Linked DNA regions of Arabidopsis thaliana. The protein of the gene in region 2 interacts with the protein of the main gene of each other region in a pairwise test. Each region holds a gene or a part of one and is shown on either strand. Other genes may lie near its edges.

Region 1 (7,094 bases), on a different chromosome or scaffold from region 2:
GAGATTTCTGATGGCTATGAGACATTTGTATCTATCTTGATAAGATTGTTATCTGAGTATAAGCTGTATGCTCTTCGTGATTTTCCTGCTAATGGTTCTAGCAGAAACTTTGGGCTTGTGACAAGGCAGCCATACAATGGAATGGAAGGGAAGCTGCTTCCTTAACTGAGCAAGGTGCGATTTTATCTTTAGTGCACCAAATATGATTTACTTTTCTTTCATAAGGTGTTGATGAAGTTTGCAATGTGTATTCGTTTACAGCTCTCGATTTAGGTTTGTTTTGTTTTCAGAAATAAGAACACAAGAAGAAATGTATTAGCCAATTTCGTTTTTCAAATTGTGTAAACTCTTCTTCATAAGAACTCCAACTTTACAAAACAAAATAGTAGTTTATGACGAAACACTTTTCTTACCAGAGTTATGTAACTACATTGAACACCGGAACAATTAAACTATTGTAAGCTGGTTTGAAAAATAAACACAGAGTTATAATCAGCAACGAAGCCTAAATGAGTCCAAGATGTTTGCAATGTTGCTTCCGTGAGATCTACGCAAGAGACGGATAAAAGGCATGAGCTTCTGCACCAAACCCCAAAACAGATCCATCCTAGACATCTTGGTGAATCTCAGAGCCTTGACCACCACGAAATTCCCAAACTCATTCCTCGCCAGCCTCATCAACCTGTCTCCATCGCAACCCAAAAGCTCCACAACCACCACAACCATTGACTCCTCCACCTCCAAAAGCTTCTCCACGATGTAGCTTCCATACTTCTTAAACGATAGCTCAATGCACTGACCATAAAGATTAACGGCGATGTTGTGAATGCAACGCGAGTCATACAGTGTAAGCACATGTTGGACCACAAAGTTCCCTGAAGCATCGTTGCTTAGCCGGAGAGCGTTGGATGCGACCAATTCTAGTAGCTGATCTCTGTAGTAAGGATCGTCAGCGTCGGTTATGATATCATTGAGCGCGATGCAGCCGTGCTGGTCACACGCTAGGTCGAGAGCGTGGTAGAGAATGCGCTCGTACAATGCCTTTTTCATCACCTTGTCGAAAACGACCATGGCTCGTATCGTCACGTAGGATGCGTATTTGTCGGTCGTGATGTGGAGGAAGCGGCGCAAGATAGCGGCACAGAAGAAGGCGTCCACGTCATCTGATTTGCCGAGGAGCTTCTGCACGCGTCTCGAGCCGAACTTGGTTGTGACGATCGACATGAAGTAATCGGAGTCAGACGTAAGCAACGAGGCCATCCTCTGAAGCTCTGTTTTGTCTGAATTTGAGATCATCTCTTTAAAGTAAGACACACCATCGCCGTCAGTCATTAGGTTGAACAGAGCTGCGTGCAAGGGCGTGGCGGAGGCGCGTGGGGCGAATCCAGGAGGAGGAATGGAACCGGAGATTCCTTTAGGGTTTGGTAAAGCATTGAACATGGTCGACATTGAAAAGGGATTATCAGCGACTGCCATTGATAAATCTCTTGATGATCTACAGAAATTTCTCTAGAAAAGGGTTTAATCAGTTTGTGTGATTTGGGAGAAGTATGAGAGACTTGTGAATGAGAGATCTGTGGTGATGCGTAGAGTATTTATAGAAAAGTTAGGGCTTTTGTTTTTCTAGTTACAATTACACAACTCGGATTACTACTAGGAAAAGGAAAAGGAAACTTATTTGGTGGAGTTTCCTTTTTGTTTTGTCAATTTTCCTTTTTTCTTTGCATTTTCGTAACTGTCATGATTTTAATCTATCTTTTTTTGGTGTGTGAAGATAATAATAATCTATCTGAAACAAATGGAAATATGTAATTTGTTTTGTTGTAAATCGACAATAATTTAACATGTCGATAATCTCTAAAGTCTAAACCAACCCCTCGCAGTCCAAGCTTTTGATTTTGTCCACGTCACTAATCTCAGCATGCGTAAATTTATCTGGTCCTACTTGACACGTAGGTTAGTTCTGCCACGTCATCAAACTCCAAAATAATATCTTCTCTGACCTTTTTGTTCTACCACCTCCCAAAAAATCCCAGTCTTCTCTTCCTCTGATTCTCTATCAAGTTTTTTAAATTTTCTTTCTTTTTATTCTATTTTAGTAGCAATTTGGTTCTGTAAAGTTGTTGGTAAAAGAAAAATAGATACGAATCAAAACATTTTTGAATGATTAGGTGATTAAATGCTAAGCAAATCAGATTAAGCAAAAATCTGTTCTTTTTTGGTTGTAATTTGGTTTTTCAAGTCAGATATGGTGAGAGATTCTGGTGGTGGTGGTGTTCATCAATGGATTATGTGAAAAAGGTTTGCTTTTGTTTGTCTTGTCGCTTTTACAATCTGCTGCTGTTTGAATTTTGTGCTTATTTCATTAAGTATTATAGCTTAGAGCCTTAGAGTTTGATTTTGTATCTGGTTCTGTAGAGTTTATAAGAAATTTGAGAAAGTAGGAGATCTTTACAATCATCTAATGAATAAAAGAAACTGTGTTCAAAGTTTGTTAACTACTTACCAAGTACTGTGATAATTTTCCATTGGAACATTGATAGCTTTTGATTTTAGAAACAACAAGTTTCAGATTGTTTTCTAAAGCTGAGTGTGTGCTACTATTGAAATTTGATTTGGCTTGTTTAGTTTTTCTTTGGACAAGTTTGATGATTTATCCAAATTCAGTTTTTTATTTTTTGGTTCTGGTGTGAGACTGTGATCTTCTTACGGAATGTTGCTTTTTTTTTTGTTTCTCGTTTCTTATTGGGCTGAGGTTTTGGTGAAGGGATTAGAATAAGTTTGGGGAAAGAAGAAATGTGCAAGTGTTATGTCAGTGTAGAGGGGAAGTTTCTGCAGAATCTTAGCTGTTACTTGATGCTGCTTCTATTCTATCTTGTTCATGGAGGCTGGTCTTGACACTTTCATGAGATATTAGTATTCTAAAAATGTGTTTTAATAACATTGAAACTGGTGATGAAGTGGAAACCGAGAGGCAAGTGTTTGGTTCATCTGAAGAAGATGAATTTCGAGTTGAAGATACTGCTAGAAATACCAACAATGTACAGATTTCTCAACAACAGCAGCAACCGCTAGCTCATGTTGTGAAGTGGGAGAGGTATCTCCCAGTTAGATCGCTTAAGGTTCTTCTGGTGGAGAATGATGACTCAACACGCCATATTGTTACTGCCCTTTTAAAGAATTGCAGCTATGAAGGTTTTCTTATATTGAATTGATCATCCTTGTTTAGCAATCACATTTTTGCTTTTGACTAACAGTTGTAAATTTGGAAACTTTTTGTCAGTTACTGCTGTTCCGGATGTCCTTGAAGCCTGGAGAATTCTAGAAGATGAGAAAAGTTGCATTGATCTTGTCTTAACAGAGGTTGACATGCCTGTGCATTCAGGAACCGGTCTGCTGTCCAAGATTATGAGCCATAAGACACTTAAGAACATCCCCGTCATAAGTATTTACTCAAATCCTTGATTAAATTTTTGTTTATCCAGCTTCAATATGCCATGCTCAGTTTGTGTAACTCAAGATGTGATGTTTCTTTTTGTAGTGATGTCATCACATGATTCTATGGTTCTGGTCTTTAAGTGTTTGTCGAATGGTGCTGTTGATTTTCTCGTGAAACCCATTAGAAAGAACGAACTAAAGAATCTTTGGCAACATGTCTGGAGAAGATGTCACAGCGTAAGAGTTCTGATTTGGTTACCTGTTTTACAAAAGTTACTCTGTGTTTTTTTCTTACTTATGCGTTTATTGATTTACCAGTCTAGCGGAAGCGGAAGTGAGAGTGGAATACATGACAAGAAGTCGGTGAAACCTGAAAGCACCCAAGGGTCAGAAAATGATGCCAGCATCAGTGATGAACACAGGAATGAAAGTGGGAGTAGTGGTGGTTTGAGTAACCAAGATGGTGGGAGTGATAACGGGAGTGGAACTCAGGTAATCTGTTCTATGGCTATAGATAATAACAATGTCTGAATAAATCGGTTTATAAATTTTTGATTGGTTTTGCATTTATAAAAATATGTAGAGTTCTTGGACAAAAAGAGCCAGTGATACTAAGAGCACCTCGCCTTCAAATCAATTTCCCGATGCACCCAACAAGAAAGGAACCTATGAAAATGGATGTGCACATGTTAATAGACTGAAGGAGGCTGAAGATCAGAAGGAACAAATAGGTAAGAACGCAAATTAATTAGTCAATTAAAATGTGAGTACACTGATCTTGTGGAACAATTCCTTGAGATTCTCTCTGATTTACTTTAATTCAAAACAATGACTTTAGATGATATTGTATTAGGCACGGGATCACAGACAGGAATGTCTATGAGTAAGAAAGCTGAAGAACCAGGAGATCTTGAAAAGAATGCAAAGTATTCTGTTCAAGCTTTGGAGAGAAACAATGATGACACGCTGAATCGCTCTTCTGGTAACTCACAAGTAGAAAGCAAAGCACCTTCATCTAACCGAGAAGATTTGCAATCACTCGAGCAAACTCTGAAAAAAACAAGAGAGGATAGAGATTACAAAGTCGGTGATCGAAGTGTGTTGAGGCATTCAAATCTCTCTGCATTCTCAAAGTAAGTTCTTGACATTAACTGCAAATGAAATGTCGAACCTGTGACTGATTTGGAGTTATTGGTTCTCTTGTGATATGCAGATACAATAATGGTGCTACTTCTGCTAAGAAGGTAACTTTTCATGATGCTTGGCGCTGTCTTTGAAATTTATGCCGGTTTCATCAAAAACTTTGAACTTTTGCTGAGTTAGGCTCCAGAAGAAAATGTGGAAAGTTGTTCTCCTCATGACAGTCCTATTGCAAAACTGTTGGGTTCGAGTTCAAGCAGTGACAATCCTTTAAAGCAGCAGTCTAGTGGAAGTGACCGATGGGCACAAAGAGAAGCTGCTTTGATGAAGTTTCGCCTTAAACGTAAAGAGCGATGTTTTGAGAAAAAGGTAAGCTCTAAACAAGCTTAAGCTCTTGTTTCCTGAGACGAAACTAACGTTTTTTTTGGTATCCTTTAGGTTAGGTACCATAGCAGGAAGAAACTAGCTGAGCAACGGCCTCACGTCAAAGGTCAATTCATTCGCAAGTAAGTTCAAATCCTTTCCAAGATTTCTCCCTCTAGATGTTTCGAAAAGTATCCTGATATAGTAATGTACTCACATGGAGTCCTTTGCCTTTAGGAGGGATGATCATAAATCAGGAAGTGAAGACAATTGAACAACAAAATTGGTATAGAAGAGAGATCCACCTCCAATATCTGAAGAACAGAAGAAAATTTCACAAAGTGGCATTTTTTTTTTTCCATTTCCAAAAACAGATAGTAGTCTTGTTTAAATAACGTCATTACTATTCTACAAACATAATAATGTCGCTATAGTACTTCTTCTCTGAAAACAATAACTCATTAACATTTCAATAAATAATGTTACTCATTAATTAGTGTGTGTGTTTTATGAATATAATTTGAGTATTTAATTCTCTAATTTTTTTAAGAATTATTAGAGCGCATAATCTCCCGTCTATATAAATATCCTCCGGCGAATTCTTTTAGTTCTCATCATCCAAACCTCTCTCATTCTCTTTCTCGCTCTAGTTTTCTCGTTGAGAGTCTCTTACTCTGTTTAATTACTTGTTTCCGGGAAAAAGATTCTCGGGAAAACAAAAGAAAAAAATCTCAAGAAAGATTCATCTTCGTTGATCGCTACGATGAAACGTTTCTTATGCTGTCTCAAAGGAGGAAGCTCAAGTAACGCAGCGCAAGGTAACGACGAGAACGACGAAGTAGATGTCGAGCGCCTATTTGGGAATAACGAGCGCCTCAATCATCTTTGGAGAAATCATCTCCGACTCCCTGACGATCGTGAAGTTGCAGGTTCCGTTTTCGTTTCTCTTCTTCAATCTCTTGAAATCGAGATTTCTTGTTTTCTGGGTTTCTTGTATCTTACGCAACTCTGTATTTTAAGAGTTTCTTTCTTACTTCTTCGTTTTGGTCTCGTCACATTCTTGCAAGTGAAAGTAGTATCTTGTTCAATCTTTAACCTTTGGTAATTCATTTGCAGATCCGACTGCTGCTCTGTTACCAGTATCTCCACCTCTACCTGATAATTGTGGAGAATCATTTCTATGGCGTGAGCTCGTAAACGGAACCATAAACTTCCGGGACGAATTTTATCTCGGCAAAGGCAACTTCGGCGAAGTCCATCGCTGCTATTTCTCAAGACTTAATGTGGTATATAGACCCAAAGGTCATGTCCTTTATGCTTAATAATCGAAACCCAGTTTCTAAAGTCTGAAACTTTTGATTTCATTAGGATGGAGCGGTAAAGGTTCAAAATCCACAGAATCCAACTGGTCATGTTGAGTTCTTGGCAGAGGTTACAACGTTACGTGCAACTAATCATCCAAATGTGATTAGACTTCTTGGCAACTGTTACGGCCAAAGGAACCGTGCTATAATTTACGAATTCATGGCCAACGGAGATCTTGAGCGTCACATCTTTGGTAAAGAAAACTCAATCAAACCCTAATTGATGACTCTGTTTTAGCTTCTAAACCTAATTGATTCTGTTTTTTGTAGCACACAAAACGATGGTGGAGGGTCCGCGACCTAAGGGTCTAACACTACCAATTAGGGTTTTGGATTGGTACACGAGGATGAAAATTGCTGTGGGTGTAGCCAAGGGCCTGGTTTATCTACACGAGGAGCTGAAAGTGATTAACAGAGATGTCAAGGCCGGAAACATATTACTTGATGCAGATTTTGTTCCGAAGCTGACAGATTTTGGATTGGCGACTAAAATCGTTGAAGATGAAAACGGTGTTGAGCAGCAGCAACGGATCATTCCGATGAAGGCATCTATGGGATACATTGCACCGGAAGGAGAGATTTCCTGGTTGGTTTCGACTAAGACTGATGTCTATAGCTATGGAGCTTTTCTGTTAGTGCTTTTCACCGGAAGGAAACCTTTTTATTCGGATAATCCTGCTGGGAAAAAGAATCTCACTGATTGGGTATGACTAAAACTTTTGTATCTAGGAACCTTTTACACGTTTCGTGTTATGGAAGTTAGTAGATTAGCTGAGTTTTGTTTGGATG
Region 2 (5,477 bases):
CAATGAATATAAATAGGGTTTGGTGCCACTTGTTGGGTCTTACGACGAGTCATGGTGCCAAGGACTTGACGGTTTAGCCTCTCGCACCGCTGCTTACTACCAACAAGGTGCTCGTTTCGCCAAATGGTACGTTAATATATGCTCGGATTGCAGAATCAATATCATATATTTGTCAAATGGTGTCTTTTTTTAATTGAGCTCCATGTATGTATGATTAGGCGTACTGTTGTGAGCATTCCAAATGGACCCTCTGCTTTGGCTGTTAAAGAAGCAGCTTGGGGACTTGCTCGCTACGCAGCTATTTCTCAAGTACTATCTATTTCTAACTGCACCGCTGTTTCTGAGTTCCATTACTGTCTTGAATATACTCATGCGTTTGAGTTTGTGTTCTACAGGACAGCGGTCTGGTGCCGATTGTGGAGCCAGAGATTATGTTGGACGGAGAACACGGCATTGACAGGACATACGACGTTGCAGAGAAGGTTTGGGCTGAGGTCTTCTTCTACCTCGCTCAGAACAACGTCATGTTCGAAGGTATTCTCCTGAAGCCAAGCATGGTTACTCCAGGAGCTGAGGCCACAGACAGAGCTACTCCTGAGCAGGTTGCTTCCTACACTCTCAAGCTCCTTCGCAACAGAATCCCTCCTGCTGTCCCCGGAATCATGGCAAGTTTTCTCTGATACTGTAAACTTTTGCAGCTGAAGAAACTATGCTTGAGATTTATGTTAAACTATCTATTGTATGCAGTTCTTGTCTGGTGGACAGTCCGAGTTGGAGGCGACCTTGAACTTGAACGCAATGAACCAGGCACCGAACCCATGGCACGTGTCCTTCTCCTACGCACGTGCCTTGCAGAACACTTGCTTGAAGACATGGGGAGGCAAGGAAGAGAACGTGAAGGCGGCTCAGGACATTCTCTTGGCCAGAGCCAAAGCCAATTCGCTGGCTCAGCTCGGGAAATACACTGGAGAAGGCGAGTCTGAGGAAGCCAAGGAGGGTATGTTTGTAAAAGGCTACACCTACTAAGCTATTTGTAATAATGGTTCCATAGATCAAAACTCAAAAACTTGAGCTTGATTCTGGTCATTTGAGTTATTATACTCTTCTTCAGGTATAAAAGTCAGTTCTGTGTTATCATGTGAGACTAGTTTTGTTTCTTCATGGTTAATATCTTAGTACCTACTCGTTACTACTAATAATTGAGTTAGTAGTCTGTTTCTATCATTGTTATCACTCAAAAACTCTGTCTTTACAAGTTATGAAACTAGTAACATTATGCTCTCTGAGCTCAAAATCACATCTAATGCAGGAAAATGACATTACAATTTATGTTCAAAAAAATGGAGCGAGAAACATCGAAACAGTATGTTGAGACTTGAGTAATGAGAGATTGCAGTTCAAGATCATATGACTCTCAAATTACTCATGTTTATAACTCAGAGTTAACAAAACTAATCAGAGAGAGAAGAAGAAGATAATAGTCATGGCTCATGGTGATCACTTAAACCGAGCCAAGAAGGCATCTCCTTTAATGGCTAACCATTTTACTATTTTCTATTAAAGCTTTGTCTGAATGTGAGAAGAGAGAAAATCATATATTTGAGATATAACTCTGAAGAATCGTTATCCACTAATTGATCATTTCACAAAAGAAAGGAAAAGAGAAGAAATTCAGAAAACAACATATTTGTTTCCTCTAAGCTAATTTCTTCAAAACAAAATAAGACATTTCCCTGTAAAGATACTGTTCTTGCATAGGTTCTTACTTGATCTTGTGTATCTGCGATCACTATTCATGCTCGTGATTGTTTGCGTTATTTACATCAATACCCTCCTCCTTGAAACACAAACAAAACAGCTTTAGAGACACTGAGGCAAGATTGATTATGTTCATCTAGATAAGATACACGTACTTGGTTATGTGATCCAGGCTCGTGTACTCTTTGAGGATTGGAGTTAAGATCGATCATATTATGATCATGATCACCATTCCCATTTGATTCTTGACCACGACCAGAGGAAGCCTTTTGACACCGTAGTCCCAGTTGGTCAGCATGATTAGGCTTATCGCCTGGAAACTACAAGAACACAACATTGTAAAGAACAGTCAATACCACAAATCAAGAATGCTTCAAGATCCTTGCATTTTCAAAAGTCAAACCTCAATTCTCTGTCTCAGTAATAGAAACCGCCTATGTGTTCTCTTCCCACCAACATGTACCACCATATCACATTGTAGACAAAGGGAACTACCATCTATCTCACAGTAAAAGAATGCTGTTCATCGATCAACAACAAAACAAACATGTCAAAAACTGAAACTTCCGCTTCCTCTTATACACTAAAGAAAGAGGAATCATATCAATACCGGGTGCATTTTCGCATATGTCACAGCTTGGTGCATTACTCGGATCAGCTAAGCCTACACGAAGATGCCGACTAGCCAGCTTGTTGCACTTATGAACCTAAACACACAAACAAAAATGTTTCTTTCTTATAACTTATATCTAACCACGTCCTCAATCAAAGCCATTGCAGATAACAAAAAGTCTCATAGCTCTTCCAGCTTCAATAGAGTGACTGTAACTGTAAATAAAGTGTATCACCAGAGAACTGCTATATGCAAAGTTCAAATTATGACAAGCTAAAATCACTAGAATGTTTCTTTAACAATCAAAACACAACTTTTGGTACTACTTTGGCCATGTTCGAGTTATAATAACCTCAAAATCTATAAATTTAGCACTTCAACTAGATATTGTCTCAAAAATTCCAAATTTTTGCATTTGTTGAGATAAAAGTGTTACTTTAAGAAAAATGAGATTTTTTTCAGGTAAAGGTGGTTACTTTTTCGTCGCAGGAGCAACAGAGGGCAGCTTCGTCGGCGGCGCAAAAGACGATAGCGGCGGCGCTCTCACAAGCATCACACAAAATTCGCATGTTTTTTACTCAAACGATTAGTCTCACTTTCAAAGTTAGCATCTTTCGCCAAACCCAAATTCTGATTGTTGAAGCGGAAGATGGAGAGACTAAAGGGTTTAGGATTAATGGATAATACGAGATAAAGTAAGAAGAGGAAGGAGATTTTTTGAATCAAACTAAGAAGAAGAAGAAGAAGAAGAAGAAGAAGAAGAAGAAGAAGAAGAAAGCAGAGAGCAGCAGAGAAATATGATGGATAGATGAATTTGCAGACGCTGCGAGTAGCTTGTATATGTATACTCGCTCTATCTCCCCTTTATTTGATTTCCCTTCTGATGGCCAAAATTAAACATAGATAGGATTTTTTTTTTTTTTTTTTGTATTTGACTCTTTGTCAAATATTTTTTAATCTTTTAAAATTTTTTCACATTTTTAGGAATATGTTCTATATGAAATTATGGGTTTGAATGGTAGGTGAGTGTATACACCATTTTGATTGTTAATTTGTTATTAATTATTTTAAAAGGAAATTGCAGTGTCAAAAATGGTCTCAAAATTTATCATTAATTGTTATTGTAATTTTTTTTGAACTATTCTACTATAGTTTTTGTGTACTTTTGCTAAGCTGAAAATCTTAACACATTCTGAAGTATCAATTGGAGCATATAATATTGAAAATTCAACTATACATTTTTATTAGTAAATGTTGATGTAAAAAAAAAAAGCTTGAATCTTTAACTGTTTTATGCGGAAGCTCTCACTAAATCTCTCTTTGTTCGATCACTCGTGTGTTTAGACAAAGAAAGTAAAACAGACACAAGCAAATGTTAACCCAGTTCACGTTCAGTGATGAACGCTACGTCTGGACCGAGATTACCCGGAAATCCACTAGAAAGCCTTGGTTACACAAACCCTTAGAAACAAGACTGAATAAACTTTCAGCTGCCTCTCTTGCACTTACTCTCTTAACCCTAATGTCTCACTTATCTTCTCCTTTATACAACTCTACTCACCGCCACGCTCCTCTCTCTTCTTCCGTACTCTGTTTCAAATGCAGAGACAAAGAGACAAAATGGTTGAACCATTGGCAAGAGGTTAATTACGTCTCTAGCCTTGATGAGCTGTATGACAAAGCACGTGCGCCTCTCGTGACTTCGTTTCTTTCACAAGCTGAGACCTTCTCTTTGGATTAGAGTCTTTATGACACTTTAGGCAATACTTCCACAAAACTTCACCTTGCCTTAGTGTCAACCTTTCCTTTGCTTCCCTTCTAGTGTAACTTGATTTCCATCTCGGACCATGATCCCTTATCAGGCACTTGTAACCCTGAGCTTCTTCAACGCGCTCAGGAACTTGTTAACCGGTACCACCTTTGTGAAAATATCCGATGGATTATGAACTGTGGATATTTTCAGCACTTTCACTTCTCCATCAGTGATTGCATCTCTGATGTAATGAAACCTTCTCTGGATATGCTTTGTCCTTTCATGATGAACTGCATTCTTTGCTAAAGCTATAGCACTCTGAGAATCACAATGGATATCTACCGCTCCTTGTTTAAATCCCAGCTCATTCATCAAGTCTTTTAGCCAATATGCTTCTTTTGCAGCCTCTGTTAAGGCTATATACTCAGCCTCTGTTGATGACAGTGCAACAACTGGCTGCAAGCATGACCTCCAGCTTACTATGTTCCCTCCTACAGTGAATGTGTACCCTGTGGTCGATCTACTTCGATCACGATCTCCAGAGTGATCTGAATCACAGTACCCTGTCACCACAAAATCACCTTCTCTCTTGTACTGCAGCCTTGAATCAATAGACCCCTTAATGTAACGGAGAACCCATTTCACACCTAGCCAATGATTCATCAATGGTTTACTCATAAACCTACTTATGACTCCAACAGGATGAGCAAGGTCAGGCCTTGACCCGATCATAGAATACATTATGCTTCCCACTGCATTTGCATAAGGTATAGACTTCATTTGATCAGCTTGCTCCTCTGCTTCAGTCTCTGTTGCTGCTACAAACTTCATATGTGGTGCCAATGGTGTTTTAACAGGCTTGCATTCATCCATTCTGAATGTCTTTAACACCTTTTGCAGATAACTTCTCTGAGATAACTCCAAAATATTTTCTTCTCGGTTTCTTGTTATCTCCATTCCCAGAATTTTCCTTGCAGGCCCCAAATCCTTCATTTCAAACTCTGAACTCAGTCTTTCCTTTAATTCCTTGACTGTTTCCTTGTTCTTTGATATGATCAACATATCATCAACATACAAGAGAAGAAATGTTCTTTCTTCTTCAGAAAATAAATCCATACTTTTCTTGTAAGGTCATCAATAAACGTGATAAAGTACTGACAATTACCTAGTGAGTTTGGTACTGATGGCGCTCCCCAAAGATCCGAGTGAATGTACTCAAGTTTCTCTCTTGTGACATGTTTTGCAGACCCAAAACCAACTCTATGTGTTTTCCCGTACACACAGTCTTCACAAAACTCGAGACCATTTATCTTTTCAGCTTGAAGGCATCCTTTCTTGATCAACACATCAATA
Region 3 (4,601 bases), about 10 Mb from region 2:
TCACATTCTAAGAAAATTATGATTTGTGTCATACGTATACAAAAACACCCGTCACACATCCTGACTTCTGAACGTTAAATCTGTCGCACACAATCATAAAAATTTAAAAATTCACCAGAGATGTACTGAAAAGAATATAATTAATCACATGATGATATATGCATAGGAGATGAGGATTATTCATTTTCTGAAATTCCCTATATGAACCATTATAATTGTTTAGTAATCAGTTCAGAAATGCTAATCATTATATGAACCATTATAATTCCCTTCATTTTTATTTAAGATCCACTTAACAGGATTTGTTAATATGCACCCACATCACTAAATACATTGGTACGCAACCGTTGTTCCATTTCCATTTTCACATCGACCAGAATGTTTACTATGCGGTAAATTGTGTAGTATGCAGATTTTTTTGTATCATTTAATTTTCTAACACTTGTTAAGTCGAAACTAATTTTGTCACAAGTAAAAGAAATAAAAAAGGTGGAAATTATTAATCAGTAGTTAGATGATTAGTTTCGAGTTGAAATGAAACTCGACTTAACAAGTGATAGCGACGACTCTAGAAACAGCCAAAATCCGCCCTATTGCTACCTGTCGACCCACAAATCGTTTACTCAAAAATGAATAAAAAATTTACGATAAAGCAAACCCAAAGTTATATCTTATTATATGCTAAGGAGCCCTCCCAAAAAAGAACAACAAATCACATTTTTATATAACTGTTAACATAATAATCTCAGCCTCATCAACACACATATATAGATAGCCAACATCACACAAACATAGAGATTCCAAAAAATAAAAATAAAGAAAACATAAATCCTCTGAGGAAAAATTCCGATGAGATGACAGAAGGTGGAGAATATTCTCCGGCGATGATGTCAGCAGAGCCATTCTTGACCATGAAGAAGATGAAGAAGAGCAACCACAACAAGAACAATCAGAGAAGGTTTAGCGACGAGCAGATCAAGTCACTGGAGATGATGTTTGAGTCTGAGACAAGGCTTGAGCCAAGGAAGAAGGTTCAATTAGCTAGAGAGCTAGGGTTGCAGCCGAGGCAAGTGGCTATATGGTTTCAGAACAAGAGGGCTCGTTGGAAATCCAAGCAGCTCGAGACTGAGTACAACATTCTCAGACAAAACTACGACAACTTGGCTTCTCAGTTCGAGTCCTTAAAGAAAGAAAAACAAGCTTTAGTCTCTGAGGTATGTTCTAAACTCTGTTTATTCTTACATGGTTAGTTAAAATCTGTGTATTTTGTGGTTGTATACTGAAAAACTGTGGTTTTAAATATGTGATAAAATATGTGCTTTAGTGGTTATATTGCAATTAAGGACTGATTAGGTGATCAAGAAAAACTCTGTTTTGATGGTTTATTGAAGGAGAGAATAGATTGTTGATGAGTTGTTTTATACCTTTATGTAGTTGCAGAGGCTAAAAGAGGCGACGCAAAAGAAGACACAGGAGGAGGAAAGGCAGTGTAGTGGAGATCAAGCGGTGGTTGCTCTAAGCAGCACACATCATGAATCAGAAAACGAAGAGAACCGGAGGCGTAAACCGGAAGAGGTTAGACCGGAGATGGAGATGAAAGATGATAAGGGTCATCATGGGGTTATGTGTGATCATCATGATTATGAAGATGATGATAATGGTTATAGTAACAACATCAAGAGAGAGTATTTTGGTGGGTTTGAGGAAGAACCAGATCACTTAATGAACATTGTTGAACCAGCTGATAGTTGTTTGACATCATCTGATGATTGGAGAGGTTTCAAATCAGATACTACTACTCTCTTGGACCAATCCAGCAACAATTACCCTTGGCGGGATTTTTGGTCATGAAAACAATAAACTCTAAACAAGAAGATGAAACAGATTGAGACTAAAGATTGGATATATACATATTCAAATCGAAATTTACCGGTCTACATCGCATGAACCGAGCCACGGATATAGAGATATTCGGTCCAGCAAATGACTCGTTTCTCAGCGAGAATTTTGCAGGATTTTGAGCTGAAATTGTATGGTTTTGTCTGTATAAATGATGTGTTTAGAAAGACGTATATTCTCAGTTCGTGTTTGTAATTCTGTTTTTAAGTAGTAAGTACTCGTCATGCTTTGTAGCTAAGTAGTAAGTTTAAGACTAAATTTGGATGAATAAAAATCAAAAGCAGGAGAAATCATATATATAAAGTGTTATGCATTAATATGTAAAAGATCAAGAAGAGAACTAAGTTGGTGAGAAGAAACTGATATTAGGAACACGAAAAGAACCATGAAACCCAAGTTAACATCTTCTTGACTCGGAAGATTTAAGGAGAAACTTTGTTTTTTTCTCAACAAAAGCAGAGTATCAAAACAGAGTCAGTCAATTCGCAAATTCTTATGTATTTAACTTGCAGATTTGAGGAAAGCAAGTCAGCAGAAAAAGCCGTCGTTGCTTTAGAGGAGAGTACTTCAGGTGAGCCAAAGACACCAACCGAATCACATGAAAAGTTGAGAAAAGTAAGATCTGATCAAGGAAGCTCCACAACGAGCAGCAACCAGGAGAATATCGGATCATCAAGCGTAAGCTTCCGTAACCAAGTTCTTCAGTCCACAGTAACGAATCAGAAGCAAGATTCACCCATACCGGTAGAATCAAATCGCGAGAAAGCAGCTAGCAAGGAAGTAGAAGCTGGTTCTCAAAGCACCAATGAGGGGATTGCTGGACAAAGCAGTAGCACAGAGAAACCAAAGGAAGAAGAAAGTGCGAAACAACGTTGGAGTAGAAGCCAGAGAGAAGCTGCATTGATGAAGTTCCGGTTGAAGAGGAAAGATCGATGCTTTGACAAAAAGGTAAGAGACACACAAGCTTCATCATAAAAACAGCATCTGAAACAAATACAAGATCAAACTGATTCAATGGAGATGTATAAAAATGGATTACAGGTTCGGTACCAGAGCAGGAAGAAGCTAGCAGAACAACGTCCTCGAGTGAAAGGCCAGTTCGTGCGAACCGTGAATTCAGACGCGTCTACAAAATCATGAAGAGCTCTTTCAGTTTTTCCTCTGATTTCTTTTGTTGATTTTATAACAGAAACTTATTTAGCTTTTGCAATCTTTAGTGTGCTTTTTTTTTTTATGTATTTGATTGGCTTCTTCTTCTCAGCTAATATGAGATACTGGGGCAACTTTTGTATATATGTCTGCAAATGATCAGGCTAAGCTAAAACAGTAATTCCAATTTCGTTAAGTTGAGAAATATTTCTTGTTGTGATCATATCCAGGCCGCTTCTCTCTCGATACATACCAACAAGAAACAGATTCTATAAAACTTGATTTATATACCATTGCTATAGTCTATGTATTAAAACTCATCACATTAATTCTCTCACAGTCAGAGAAACAAAAAAAAGGAAACAGAAGCTATCAAAAGAAATCTTTTTTGTGACCGTTAAAAGAAGATTTTGTGACCGTTAATTGTGATTATCAGTTTCCTTTTCTTCGCTTATAAATAAATAATTACTCTCTCACTGAGAGTCTCAACGCTTCTTCTAAAGAATTCGACAAATCAAAACTCTCTATTTCTCGCTTCTTCTTATTCTAAAACCCTAATTCTCTTCTCAAGACAATTTTGTCTTTATCTCTCTGTGAATTCCGATGATGATCCAAGTAGAGATATTCAAGTAAAAGCCGATGGTGATGATCTCTGAAACGTCCGTAATTGATCGGAGCGATATCATATCATCATCGTTTCGTGATTGAACCATCAAATCTATGTCATCAAGATCGATGTCGCCAGATAATGATCTGACCAACGAGAGACGCTTTCACCGGAGACTACAAAGAGGAGGATATAGCCAAGAGAGCGGAGAGCTTTATGGTGGTGGATGATGTCACGAGAGGGCTCCCAAAGACCGACGGGCTCAAATCTGACTTTGGAATGGGCTTTGCTCTATGGGCCCTTTTTGCTACTAAATCCAACAAGGTATTACTTTTTTCATTCTTTTTTTTTTTGTTTTATTTTCCTTCAAAATTATTTTTAAGTAAAACTAAAACTAATTAGTTTCACCATAACATTTATATAACTAAAATGTTTATATATTTTCATTAGTTTAAGTGTAAAATGTTTTTACACCTATATTTTATTATAACTTTAGATTTTTTTTATATAGATAAGTGTTAAATTTTTAAATTTTGTGTAAACTAATTGGATACATCATCCAATCCCCTAAGAGTTGTTCTAGGTTCAATATGGTTTACATTTTATTTAACTTTTTAACACTTGTTTTTCTTATATTTAGCATTTATTATTATTATTATTTTGAAAAGATTTTCAACTCTTTTTTTTAAGGTTTTATAAATACTAAATTAATATGACGTTGTGAAATCTAACCGGATTTTGGGTCCCGCCATTTAATCGTGCTTATTAGCGATTCCATAAATCCAACATGTTTTTCACTTTTTCATGTATATTTAGCATTTCTTTTTTCTTAAAAGGTTTTCAACTCTTTTTTTTTTTTTTTTAAATTTTATAAATACTAAATTAATATGACGTTGTGAAATCTAACCGGATTTTGGATCCCGCCATTTAACCGTGGTCATTAGCG

The links.
Region 1: the proteins of BBX18 (region 2) and PRR3 interact in a two-hybrid assay, tested with the Arabidopsis thaliana proteins (one large-scale study listed by BioGRID).
Region 3: the proteins of BBX18 (region 2) and AT2G46670 interact in a two-hybrid assay, tested with the Arabidopsis thaliana proteins (one large-scale study listed by BioGRID).

The regions. Positions count from the first base shown.
Region 1 is NC_003076.8:24,196,336-24,203,429, reverse strand, and holds PRR3 (pseudo-response regulator 3), read left to right. Parts: upstream 1-2,065; 5' UTR 2,066-2,301; exon of another isoform or gene 2,302-2,767; 5' UTR 2,768-2,927; coding exon 2,928-3,195; intron 3,196-3,283; coding exon 3,284-3,445; intron 3,446-3,541; coding exon 3,542-3,930; intron 3,931-4,021; coding exon 4,022-4,169; intron 4,170-4,291; coding exon 4,292-4,571; intron 4,572-4,651; coding exon 4,652-4,682; coding exon of another isoform or gene 4,683-4,715; exon of another isoform or gene 4,716-4,761; coding exon 4,762-4,947; intron 4,948-5,016; coding exon 5,017-5,084; intron 5,085-5,178; coding exon 5,179-5,215; 3' UTR 5,216-5,432; downstream 5,433-7,094. Other genes in the region: PUM18 (pumilio 18), read right to left, coding at 493-1,476; AT5G60090 (Protein kinase superfamily protein), read left to right, coding at 5,705-5,870, 6,058-6,227, 6,310-6,499, 6,576-7,009. UniProt on the Arabidopsis thaliana protein: Controls photoperiodic flowering response. Component of the circadian clock. Controls the degradation of APRR1/TOC1 by the SCF(ZTL) complex. Expression of several members of the ARR-like family is controlled by circadian rhythm.
Region 2 is NC_003071.7:9,123,965-9,129,441, reverse strand, and holds BBX18 (B-box zinc finger family protein), read right to left. Parts: upstream 3,180-5,477; 5' UTR 2,941-3,179; coding exon 2,848-2,940; intron 2,466-2,847; coding exon 2,369-2,465; intron 2,278-2,368; coding exon 2,162-2,277; intron 2,079-2,161; coding exon 1,914-2,078; intron 1,838-1,913; coding exon 1,790-1,837; 3' UTR 1,455-1,789; downstream 1-1,454. Other genes in the region: FBA1 (fructose-bisphosphate aldolase 1), read left to right, coding at 17-126, 219-309, 396-665, 748-1,026. UniProt on the Arabidopsis thaliana protein: Acts as a negative regulator of seedling photomorphogenesis. Acts as a negative regulator of blue light-mediated inhibition of hypocotyl elongation through increase of bioactive gibberellin levels.
Region 3 is NC_003071.7:19,163,027-19,167,627, reverse strand, and holds AT2G46670 (CCT motif family protein), read left to right. Parts: upstream 1-2,394; coding exon 2,395-2,847; intron 2,848-2,940; coding exon 2,941-3,039; 3' UTR 3,040-3,271; downstream 3,272-4,601. Other genes in the region: HB-7 (homeobox 7), read left to right, coding at 855-1,214, 1,435-1,851.